3 linked regions of the Tribolium castaneum genome follow. Each later gene encodes a partner of the first gene's protein in a complex. Links are inferred from orthologs where the notes say so. Each region holds a gene or a part of one and is shown in the gene's direction. Other genes may lie near its edges.

The links.
Region 2: HDAC1 (region 1) and Myb share a complex: the UniProt entries of both Drosophila melanogaster proteins name them as parts of the DREAM complex. The link is inferred for Tribolium castaneum from reciprocal best matches to the Drosophila melanogaster genes HDAC1 and Myb.
Region 3: HDAC1 (region 1) and Dp share a complex: the UniProt entries of both Drosophila melanogaster proteins name them as parts of the DREAM complex. The link is inferred for Tribolium castaneum from reciprocal best matches to the Drosophila melanogaster genes HDAC1 and Dp.

What each region holds. Positions count from the first base shown.
Region 1 is NC_087394.1:10,698,015-10,702,258, forward strand, and holds the start of HDAC1 (histone deacetylase HDAC1), read left to right. Parts: upstream 1-1,436; 5' UTR 1,437-1,619; coding exon 1,620-1,668; intron 1,669-1,979; coding exon 1,980-2,092; intron 2,093-2,146; coding exon 2,147-2,588; intron 2,589-4,244. UniProt on the Drosophila melanogaster protein: Catalyzes the deacetylation of lysine residues on the N-terminal part of the core histones (H2A, H2B, H3 and H4).
Region 2 is NC_087396.1:14,745,035-14,748,686, forward strand, and holds part of Myb (myb-related protein B), read left to right. Parts: exon of another isoform or gene 1-267; intron 268-399; exon of another isoform or gene 400-1,216; intron 1,217-2,312; coding exon 2,313-2,762; intron 2,763-2,817; coding exon 2,818-3,136; intron 3,137-3,184; coding exon 3,185-3,339; intron 3,340-3,652. UniProt on the Drosophila melanogaster protein: DNA-binding protein that specifically recognizes the sequence 5'-YAAC[GT]G-3'. Component of the DREAM complex, a multiprotein complex that can both act as a transcription activator or repressor depending on the context.
Region 3 is NC_087398.1:7,908,002-7,912,358, forward strand, and holds the start of Dp (transcription factor Dp-1), read left to right. Parts: upstream 1-1,475; 5' UTR 1,476-1,825; coding exon 1,826-1,874; exon of another isoform or gene 1,875-2,055; coding exon 2,056-2,171; exon of another isoform or gene 2,172-2,190; intron 2,191-4,038; exon of another isoform or gene 4,039-4,186; intron 4,187-4,357. UniProt on the Drosophila melanogaster protein: Component of the DREAM complex, a multiprotein complex that can both act as a transcription activator or repressor depending on the context. In follicle cells, the complex plays a central role in the site-specific DNA replication at the chorion loci.

The sequences.
Region 1 (4,244 bases):
TTTTTTAGAAAGTAAATCGGTAACAAAAATGTGTAATAGAAAAGAATTACGTCTAATTTGAACCTTTTTTGACTATTTCGTGTAAAATATCAATATTAATATGCTTGTTTCTGACAAAAAAACTATAGAAAACCCAACAATGAGAGTCTGTTTAAACAACATTTTTTTTTATTAAGAAACATTCTTAAATACACAAAGCAAAACCACGTAATGTGCAACATTTCATCTTATTTTAAAAAAATTTGCTTTCTAAAAAGCTAGATTTGTGTTTAAAGCGGTTTCGCTGCTTTAAACTCTCAAATATTATTAATTTTTTTAAATTTATGGGCCGGTTTATAAAAGGCTCTGTTAAAATTGAATTCGTTGTTAAAAGTTAACAACGCGAATGAACCAACCAAATGACTTCAATTTGGTCACGTAATCAGTTAATCACGCATTTTATAACTGATTAAATTAATGACGTTTTTATAAACCGGTCCTATGATTAGTTATGATAATTAAACTAGTTTACAAAAAATTTTTTCTTTTACCAAGAAATAATTTATACTGATTTTGTTTTCTTCTCACTCACTAATAACGTAATAACTAAAATATATCTCACATTTGTCTATCACGTCTTGTTTTTTTAATATATTCACTAAAAGTTTTGAAAATATATTCGTTGTTTCTGTGATAAACTAATAGTTAAACATTGTATTTGCTTTAAAATATCGTCAAGTAAATGTAGATTAAGCCCAAACAACTTTTGTTTTTTTGTGGTAAAATTATCTTAGTAAAACCTGAAAAACTTAAAGGCAAGAAATAAGAATTTCTCAGTTTCGAATGTAAAGGGAAAAATGTTTAGGAATGCAACCCCTTAATTATTTCTAACTAAGTGTAAAGAAGAATTTAGAACTTGCTCTACTGAAAACTGCTAACCAATCTTCATAACATATAATTGTTGTTTTCTTCGATAAATAAGTTTTTTACAGTAGAGGCTTCCTTTTTCATGAGAATTTTTGTATGAAAAGCTGATTTTTGTTCATTAGTTAATGTGGCATTATTAGCGGTGTAGTTAGAAAAAACAGTTCTAAGGAACAAAGTTGTGGTGAATTATCTTCTACGATTCAGGTATTATTTAATTTTCCATTATTCGAACATTGGTAAAAAACCGTCTTCAACGTTTTTGGGACCCCTTCGGTTGAAAATCACAGCTTTCTTGATTAATGAAGGGTCAAGGGACTTTCCCTTCGTTAATCAAGGAAGCTGTGGATATGGTCTTAAGGACTCTTCTAAAGAAAAGAGATGGCGCTACGTAAGGAGAGTTTTTTTAAGTTAGGAGAATCAACTCCAACAATGAAAAAGAAAGCTTTGTTACGGCCTTAATGGTGGCATTACAATGCAAAAACGAAAAGAATCACCCTGTTTATTTTTTAGTAGGGAAATTCAACTTTACACTAAATCGCCACCGGTGCTAGGTTGGCGTCCTTGCTGCGGGAACAACGGTGCCATTTGCAAAGCGGCGTGTTGTGCTACCGCCGTAATTCTAATAATTTAAACAAATTGTTACAAAGTGAACAGTGATTTGTAATAATTAAAGCCAAAGTAATTAAAAACAATTTAGTTTTCTACAGTACAAGATGGCCACACAACCTCACAGTCGGAAACGTGTTTGTTACTATTACGACAGTAAGTAGCCACCAATTTCAGCCAAACATGAATTATTCCACCATTTTGGGGCGTTTGTTTTTGAAATTTGCCAACAAAATGCATGCGTTTGCTTAATTTTGTGTCGTATCGTGCTATCATGTAAATACGATTTTCGAAACCGTAAGCCTGGAAATTCACGGTAGACTACGGTCGCGGTATTTTTGCTCGGTGCTGATTGGTTAGCTTGGTTTATGATGAGATGATGACGCTTTTTTGTACGGTGTTACGATGGCGAATGTTATTAGTCCATCGTGAATTTTGATTCAATTCTGATAATTTTGAATTGTTAGGCGATATTGGGAATTACTATTATGGGCAAGGACACCCCATGAAGCCCCACCGCATAAGGATGACCCATAATTTGCTGCTCAATTATGGTCTGTACAGAAAAATGGAGATTTATGTGAGTATTTAATTTCCATGAATTGTTGGTGTTATTTAGTTTTGACTTTCCCAGCGCCCCCATAAAGCCACTGCCGAAGAAATGACCAAGTTTCACTCGGATGACTACATTCGATTTCTCAGATCCATCCGACCTGACAACATGTCTGAGTACAACAAACAAATGCAGAGGTTTAATGTAGGGGAGGACTGTCCTGTCTTTGACGGTTTGTACGAATTCTGCCAACTCTCAGCTGGGGGCTCAGTGGCGGCAGCTGTTAAATTGAACAAGCAAGCGTCCGAAATTTGCATCAATTGGGGCGGGGGTTTGCATCACGCGAAAAAATCCGAAGCTTCGGGCTTTTGCTACGTAAATGATATTGTTCTGGGGATTTTGGAGCTGTTGAAGTACCACCAACGCGTGTTGTACATCGATATTGACGTGCACCACGGTGACGGTGTCGAAGAGGCTTTTTACACCACTGACCGGGTGATGACAGTCTCGTTCCACAAATACGGTGAGTATTCTAAAAATAAGACAAAGGGGCGAAACGAGATACAAAATAACTCGATGTTTTTACCAAAAATTTAGTCCCCCAGAGCATCAGTGCTCCATAGCATCGTTTTGGTTTCATTTAAATTAATTTAAACTCAACCGGTTCACTATTTGTCTGAGAAAAATGTGCTGTTCTAGGGGAAAAACATTATTGAAATGTTTTTAAAACGTTGCAAATACGGTTAGTAAAATACAAAGAGGTGTATAAGTATTAAAGCAAACTGTTCGAAACATTTTTTATATGTCGAGAATTACTTAAATATTTTGTTGTAAAATTTTCTTCTAATACGGTCAGAAGTTTCCAACAAAGGATGAAAATTGTATTACTCTGAATAATTCAGCTAACTTAAAGTCGTTTTATAGATGAAAAGCATTTTTTTAAGAAATCTCATCGAATAAAGGCAAAGAATGTGTTTGCTTTTTTTAATACCTACTTAAACACATTTCTAAGGTAAAAATTCACTTTTCTTGCTTAGTTTTATATTACTTTTGCCTTTGTTTTTGTCAAAAAAAAAAAACAAAAATGAAGATCGGAAATGATTTTATTTTGGCTTTTTTGTTCTTGTTTTGAGTGATTTTCTTTGTTTTTTTTTTCACAATTGCTTTAATAACTCGGTAATTTTCTGAAATTTATATATTCTTTGGACATTTTTAGTTCTAGTTTTATTTATTAGTTTCAATCAATTTAACATTTTGCTTAAATAGGTTTAAAAAGGATTATCAGTGGACATCGAATATCCATTTTTGCCTTTCTTCAGCATTTTGATTAAAAACATACCTATTTCTCATAAATTGGTTACAACAGGACCAAAAATCATTAGTAATCTAAGCGAGAAACTCACTGTGAAATGACCACTTTTGTATGACTTCGTTAAACACTCCGAACATTTTCTTTATTATGATTTCGTTGTTTGTATGATTTCGTTAAACACTTTGAACAATTTCTTTATTACGTAGAAAATTACGGTATTTTTATTATTAAACAAGTAAGTATTAAACAAGTGTAAGATGATTTTACTTTTTTCGTAAAACTGCATTAAAACGCCAAAAATAATTTAATTACGTTTGAAATACCGGATTTTTATTTTAAATATGCAAAACTTTGTCAGAAGACCAATGAATGATCTTGATAGTTGTCGTTCCTTTCGGTGGGCTTACGGTGACTTGTTAAAACAAGATGAGAAATTATTTGATACGTCGGAAATGACGTGAATTTTGAGCGAAAGGTCGAAAATAATGTGAATTATTTTGATCAGTTTTTCTAGAATTGGGTCGTTTTTTTTTTGTAAAATTTGAAGTACAAATGCCGAACATATCACATAATTATTATTTTACCTATAATTAGGTATATATTATTTTTGCTTTTAAGCACACTTCTCACTTTTCTGTTGAAATTTCGCTCAAATAGAGCAAGTGATTATCAATAAAGTTATCGAATATTACGTCACTTTGATTTTTTTCCACTTACTCATAGTAATTCGCATTAATTCGCTAGAATAACAGGCCAAAAAAATCACAAATGAAGGTAGGGAATGACATTACTTTGGTCTTTTTCGCCATACATATTTATGTGGGAAACTAAGATTTGTTGCAATTTTGTCAATAAATGAAACTAGAT
Region 2 (3,652 bases), on another chromosome or scaffold:
AACAATAATAAATTGTATCCACCTCTACTGTGTTTGTTTTCTTGTTTGTGTTTGTTTGTGTACACCATGTGCGCTTGCCGACAACGGTCTTATATTACAGGAATACATTGTTGAAGTTTTATCCATAATTGGGTAACAGCTTAATCCATTATTCCGCGTCTTAAAAAAGTGCATTAATTCCTTTTGTTTTAAAAATGACTTGGCACTTTTCAGTGTTATTCTTCCGTCAAACAAGACTGATCTTTTGCACCTGCCACAAAGTTTTACCTGTGGAAAACAATATATTAGCCAGAAAATTCGATCAATGATATCAAAATATATGAATTTCTATTTTTATAAATAATAATGCCTTCGAGGAAGGAAGCTCAAGCTTTGGCTGTTATTCCGACCACGACATACCTGCCAAGGCCATCCCGTCGAAATTCCGTGCCAATAAAAACAGGAAAAAAACTTTGAATTTGCCCATAACGGTCGGAACTGTGCCAAACTAGTTTTTTTTAATCTCTCAATTCGGAGCCGTTGTTACTACACCATTATTCATGGGGCCTCGTTGTGGGAGTGCCTAAATCTGAATGGGCTCTTGAACTTGCGTCAAGGTGAATCTTCACCCCGCGCCCCCGCTCACGTAACAATTTTTTTTCGTGTGTGTATAATTAAGCCACGATAAAGCGTAATTCAACTGGTTTGTTTTGGACGGTACTGTTCTTATCCAGTCCGGGCACACCTTACTTTGTAATCTGAGGCGGTCTTCAGGGCCACGTTAGCCACGATATGATGATCGTTCAACCCTCCCGGCCCCGACTTGATGATTTTAATTCAAGCTTGTGCGGCTTCCCACGCTTTTCTTTTGCGAGACAAGATCGAATCGTAAATCAACGAGTACAAGACAATTGCGGGGGACATTTTCAAACGCGCTGCTTTATAGCCCCCTCGGGCTGCTGTACTTACGTAATTTGCACATTTACATGCTTTATGGAGGAATTTGGCCGCACACAAAGGAACGGACACACTTCAAACACGATTTGAGTAAACACGACCTGTAATGAAGACAACCTGAAACGGTTACTAACGGTCATTACCGAAAGTAATTTGAATCGGACATACACGAACTCAGCTCAAATTGAGTTAACATTTGTTCGTTAATTTTACAGTTTTTGATTACGTTTGTTCATAAGCATTAATCATTCATTCATTTTGCAATAAATGATGCTTGTTGCACGTGACAGTTGTTTAAAATAACGAGTTTTGATTGGCTCGTTTTGTTGACAGTTTAGCGTTGTCTAGGCAACACCAATCAGGATGAAAAATTTGAATTTAAATCAATAGCGTAAGAAACGGTTTTATCCACCTGAGATTCCGTAAAAATTAGCAAAAATTGTATTCGATTAAATAAACGCATATTACAATGGTATTTGATTTTGCATTTTTATTTGTAAATAAATAATTTTTCAAATAACTGCCACAATTCTTCGTCTCTTGAGTTTTTCTTGAGATCAAAATGATTTTCAAATTAAGGAATCAGAAAATGTTGTAGAAATATAGTTATAAACGTAAAAAACGGCTAGTGTTTATGTAATGAACTAATGACGAGTAATTATTGCTTAGGAAATTTTTGTATTAATTTACATAAACGTTAAAAAATATTGCTGCAAGCATAAAGTCAAGCCTTTGTTTTCTTCGGTTATTTTATTTATATAAAGAAAAATAAGGAGCAGATTGAACAAAGCAAATAAGGAAAAAGAAAATTTAAAAAATATTGGAACAAATGATAAGCAATTTGCAAATTTTTTAAGACAGTTAGCTTGCCTCATACCTATAGGGACGAAATGCCGAATCGTATACCTGTCTCTTTCTTTCATTAATTGTAACAGTATTGTGTTTTCCCCCTGACTATAATTTGATCCAGTACAAAAGAATCGCCACATAACAAATATTTCACCGCTAGTTCCATCCATCTGATACAGGACATGAGGCTTCCAAAGCATTATTTTTCACAGCTGTGAGTTCCCAACGGGTGGGGGGTTCAAATTGACCACTTTTATTTGACTAAAGAATTGATTGTAATCCAAACCTTTTTACCAACGATGGCAATCAAAATTTTTCTCATAAATTCTGCTCCACTTTGGGGGCATTCTCACACGTTTTCGTGAAAACCAGGCGATGCGTTACGACCATATGGCCCTAAATGGCGCAAATTGACCCTCAAAGCATCACCATATGTGTTTTGTGAACTATGACTTTTGTGGGAACACGTTACGTAATCAATTAAAGAAAAAAAAACGGAAGTTGTAATTCTGTTTCTGTGTTTCCAGGAAGACGAAAAAGTGATCGAATTGGTGAATAAATACGGAGCGAAGAAATGGACCTTGATTGCGCGTCACCTGAAGGGCCGTATCGGCAAACAGTGTCGGGAGCGATGGCACAACCACCTCAACCCCAAAATAAAAAAGAGCGCTTGGACGGAGAACGAAGACACGATTATCTACCAAGCGCACAAGGTTTTGGGCAACCAGTGGGCCAAAATCGCCAAACTGTTGCCCGGAAGGACGGACAATGCCATCAAAAACCACTGGAACTCCACCATGCGGCGGAGGTACGAGACCGAGAACCGCCAAGACGGGGAGACGCGCCGTGGGAGAGCCAGAAAGAACCAAACAAAACAAGCAGACATTCTGGCCTTTCAGTACCAGAACCACCAAGTTGTGACCATTGATAATTGTGATAGTCGCAGTGTCAACCAGGATAATCTGATTATCAATGATGTGAGCACGCGGGATTGCGTTACGACCGGTTATTTTATTTTAATGTTAATTGCAGGAATGGACTTTGGAGACGTACGACCATGGAAGCAACCAGTCCAGCACAGGCGGTTTCTCTCTGACGGCCACCCCCAGTCCAGGTCCTCTGACCCCCAGCCATACGGTCGTCAGCTTTTCCTCCTCGCCTCCACCCTCCACGACCTCAGTTAAAGCAGATTTGCCATCATACAGCTACCTTGATGTAAATACGTACAACAACCAAACTAGTCCCGTGAAACTAACACCAATGACTGACGATTTTGACCTGAAATACTGTACCCCGAGTGGAATAAACCCACTGAGGGATTTCTCCGAAAGTCGCCACTTTATCAAGTCACGTAAGTTGGTCAAGTGTCAGAAAAACGTCATTTCTAGCTTGCTTGCAGGCCTGACACCGCCGAACCTCAACCAAAACACTTTAGTACCTGCTGAAAATATGACCCGAGCCTCCACTCCTCCCATCCTGCGACGGGGTGCCAAGTCGAGGCGAAGAAGGGAGAGTGAAGGCCAGGATATCATGTCGGACTGCGCTGAAGATCGGGTAAGAATCAAAGGACATCAAACCCAATTTCTAGCTAATTATGGTTATTCGTTGAATGGCCAGATCTATTTCATAACACAAAAACATAAACTAAAAATAATAAGAGAAATAGTTATAAACTGAACAATTGCATCTGATAAAGCAAAACTCTGTGCTATTGAAGGTAAAATAGATAGCGATGATAATTTGAAAATAATTAGATAATTATGTGCGAAATACCACTTTCGAAGATAAGACCTCTGTGCCTTCTAATAAACGATTTAAACCGCACATTTACGAAATTTTATTTTGGCTTCACCAGCGACAAACAAAT
Region 3 (4,357 bases), on another chromosome or scaffold:
TTATTTATAAACACGCGAAATTTGCATTCACGACGTCCAATAACGCGGTTTATTGAGGACGCGAACTGATCTAGAAAAATTCACGTATATAATAGAGGTGGTGTTCAACAAAAAATTAGCGACAGAACAGGACATCTCTAGAAACAGACATCGGCAGAATCAGTCAAATCTAAAAAATCATAAACAGAAGCATTCAAAACACTTTTCGAGTCGAAGTATTGGTTTAGAATCGACACCCAGGACACATTTTCATTTTCAGAAATGTATTTATTTTTACATAATTTTTGTATTTAGCAACAATTTTCATTGTTGTTTTAAAATGTTTAAATTTTCGTTTCTACTAAAATTGATTCGGCACTTTTATTCCTCTGAAGCCGCTTTAGCTTTTCAATAAACTGTTCTTTATATGTTACATGTTCGACAAATCTATATTTCATATGCAATATAAGAATACAAAAAAATAGTTTTACGGCTGTAAAAAACAATCAGCAATAAACATATTTATAAATACAGGGTGTCCGTTTGTCGTTTTTATTTCTGATTTCAACGATGTATCACAAAATATGATCAAATATTACATGCTGATCAAAATGGAGAAAAAGCATTTTTACGAAAATTGCTGATCATTATGTGATACATCGAATTGTTAGCAGAAATAAAAAAACTTTTAAAAAATGCAAGTATCAAATATGGCTAAAGTTGAGTGTCGTAACTCTAACATCAAGAACGTCTTGAAAAAGGCAATGACAGATTTGGATTTAAAAAAAAAATCCCCAAAAAAATATTCTACTTAAAAACGTGTATTTTTTTGGTTTTTGCTTTAAAAAATAAAAACAAAAATTACAAAATATTGATGGGGTCAATTCATAACGGTTTGCGTGTGGGTATGAGCTTCTTTCCTTTGCTATTCATGCTATGATGACTAAAAATTCAGTCAGAAGAGTATGAACAATTAGTATTAAGATCTATAAGAAGATAACAGGTCGAAAAACTACATTACATTTACCATATCCACACGCATACCGTCGTGAATTGACCCATTACAACAAATTTTGAGAGAAAATGTGATGTTGGCATTTTTATGGTTTCGAAACAGGTAATAAATAGTATTTTATAATTATTCTTTTACATTTGTGTTTACCGTATTTACTGACTATTTCGTCATTATAGTGCAAAATAGTATTTTTGCAGTAGCGACACCTAGCGAATACTGCCTTTCTAATAATTTAAGGTTCTGTCTTGCACGTTTCTGTCGATGGCCTGTTCGGTGGGTGCACCTTTCCTGACAGCCGCGTATTATTGAAACTGCATCCCTGGGTGTTTTTTCCGGGGCATTTGCCCGGTGTCAGGGCCTCGTGCGCCCCGTGCGGGGGCCGCAAGGCAAAAAGGCGCCAAAATATTTCGAACGCATCGCTCCCTCGTGCCGCTTGCCCGAACTAGGAGCAGCGTGTCCCACGTGAAGGAATCCAGCCAATGGGAGCGATGCCTTTGTACCCGCCGCCAAGCTGGTAGTGGCTTTCCTTGCACGAAATAGCTCATCTTCAAAAACACCCCCAAGTGTTGTATCGCAAGCAAGCAGTTAAAAAGCGCGAAATTAGCAAATTGCGATATTCGAGGAAACTTCGCGAGTTGTTTAAACCGAATTCGTGGTGCGCGGGGTCCGCCTATTTCAATTCCAAAATATCGCCTAGTTACAGTCGCCATTTTTGTTGGAGTTGGATGGAGAGGAGCTCGGATTTAAAAACCGGTGCTTTTTCGACAGTGTCCCGTTTTTGAGGAAATGTGCTAAAGGGGCGGCGAGTGAGTGTTTCGCACGAGAGGGAAAATGACCCAGCAGAACAGCACAACCAACTGGGTGATCCAGGGAGCCAATGGTAATTTTTAAAGGGTTCGGGGGTTTTTCCAAAACGGGGGCCCACAACGAAGTGGTGCGGGGGCAAACAGTTGCCGGTTGGGGGGCTGGGCGGGAAAGGACCGAGTTTCGGGGGAAACCGCCTCGATGTGGGAGGAAAAGCGGGTTCAGTGCACGTGTTTTATTCGTTTTTTCTGTAACAGGGCAGATGATTAAGGTGGTCCAGCCCAGTGGAAAGCCCATAAGTGGCATTGTGACCTCGGTGGCAGGGCAGCCCATGAAGATTTTCAAATCGCCGAACAGCCAGGAACCGCTCCAGGTATTCCACTCGTTCCCCCCTAAATTAATTTGTTTGTAGTTCGTTAAAGATAAGACGGATTTGTTTACATCTATTCCTAAGTTTTCGAACGATTGATCGAATTTTTATCTCGGGGTAATTGCACAATTCATTCATCTCTTTCATCTTTCTTGCATGTCTTTGCCTATTTTCGACTACTTCTGTTTTTGTTTCTAATTTATCTTGACCATAATTATCGCGTGTTTGTGTGGAGGTAGATCAGTATCGCCACGCATTTGTAATGGTTTCGTGAATTTTATTGGATCACAAAAGCAGTTAAACTCATAAGGTTGCGTCATTGAAGAAAAACCGAGCTTTTTACCTCTTGTAAGTTAAATATTTTAGATTGTTTTGTCGGAAACCGGTTCTCAGACCCCACCTTCAGTCACCCCTTTTTCTCTTAATAGGTACAGCAATATCTCAATAGTCCGAAGCTTTTCTCGTCCGAATAGGTTTTTAGATTAACACAAAAATCATAATTATTAGATAAATTATCGAGTGTTATCAACGCCAGTAACAAAACTAGTCGATTTAAACACTTTCTTGTCCTGTCCCTGTAATTGGATTAATCTACATCATTATTATTTCAAGGGAGTTATTAATTTCCACTACTAACTATTTTTATACTTGTGTGCTTACTAAAGCTTCCACGTTTCTTCTGATTGTAAACATAATTACTATGTTGCTACTGGTAATCCGAATTTTTTTGTAGTCCGAATCACCTTCGGATTAACGAAGTGTTACTGTACTATACAGTGTGTCCACTGTCCACCGCGCCCGGCTATTTTGAAGATGAATGGTTTTTCAAGTTTTGCTCAATATTTACCACGCGTCTGCGCATTTTCCACATCCAGTTTATTTTATGTATAACTTAAGAGTTCTTAAAAACTACTTTTCCGTTTTTTAGTACGTTTCACTTTATTATCGATAATGATTATTCAAATTGCTTTATTGAAGACGAGCTCATTAAAACAGCGGAGATAATTATGATTCTAGTCACAGGACAAAAAACGTCTACTTCTAATTATCTTGACCGTGGCTATCGGCAATTGCATTAATTTTTAATTAATAGTGGCCCCATAAAATATACATATCTGTCGCTATCAGATTAGCATCGCTATTGATTGCTACGTTCTTAACAAACGTTTGTTCTTTGATATCCCGTCAATAAAATTCCTAATGGAACTAGTGCGACATGGCAGATAATACCTATCATAAATCTGATCTTCCCATTAACCTGTTGAGGTATCCTTGAACCTGAGTTGAGACACTGCCAGTCTGCGATCACGATTTTTCCCAATCAAAATCGCTGGGACATTACAATCCAAGACCATGTTTGGGGCACACGTGTTTGATTATTTATTTACATAAAAAGCTTCAGGAGTTACTGTCGTGTTTGTTATTTCTGCTTGAATTGGGAATCCTGTTTGTGACAACTTTTTTGGCCCATTCTTGGATGTAAAAACGCGTTATGACTTCAGTTGCTTTAACGCGTAAAATTAATTCCTTTTGTTAAAGGGCAAAAGGTTCTTTCATACTGCGAAATAACGGCTTTTTGCGTTACTACAGTCCTTAATCTTTGCGATACATCATCCACGAAGGCACGCAACGGTTTCAAAGTTTCAAGCTTTATAACTTTTAACAACCTCAACTTTTATACATTATCGTCGATAAACGAAACAGGCTTAAAAATTATATCGAGATATTTTTAACCGGTGGTTAGTTGAATTCATTCGTGCGATTAGGTTTTCACATTGCATCAGTTTCTAGTGTTTTTACGTAAATGATTACTGTATGGATTTTTTACATAATTTAGATGGTAGTGGATATAATTTAACTTTGGACTTACTTTTTTTTACATTTACGCTTGTTTATATGCTATTTTAAGTAAGATCATTGTTGCACCTTTCATCCTAATTCGGTAGCAATAAATTTACGACTTTGATAACAGATAAGGTTTTCCTAGGTATAAAAAACCCTAGATAACAGTGTTCATGTCTGTTTTTAAGCCGAACGCATAAAGTGTAAATAAGTATTTTCGTGGATAGACTGGCAATATTTTCTTGATTGCTTTCAAGCTTTTACAGATAAAGCCAACCCACGATTAATGTAGATAACAAATGTGTTGTATTTAATCTCACCACAACACAAATTGCCACAAACCGGAG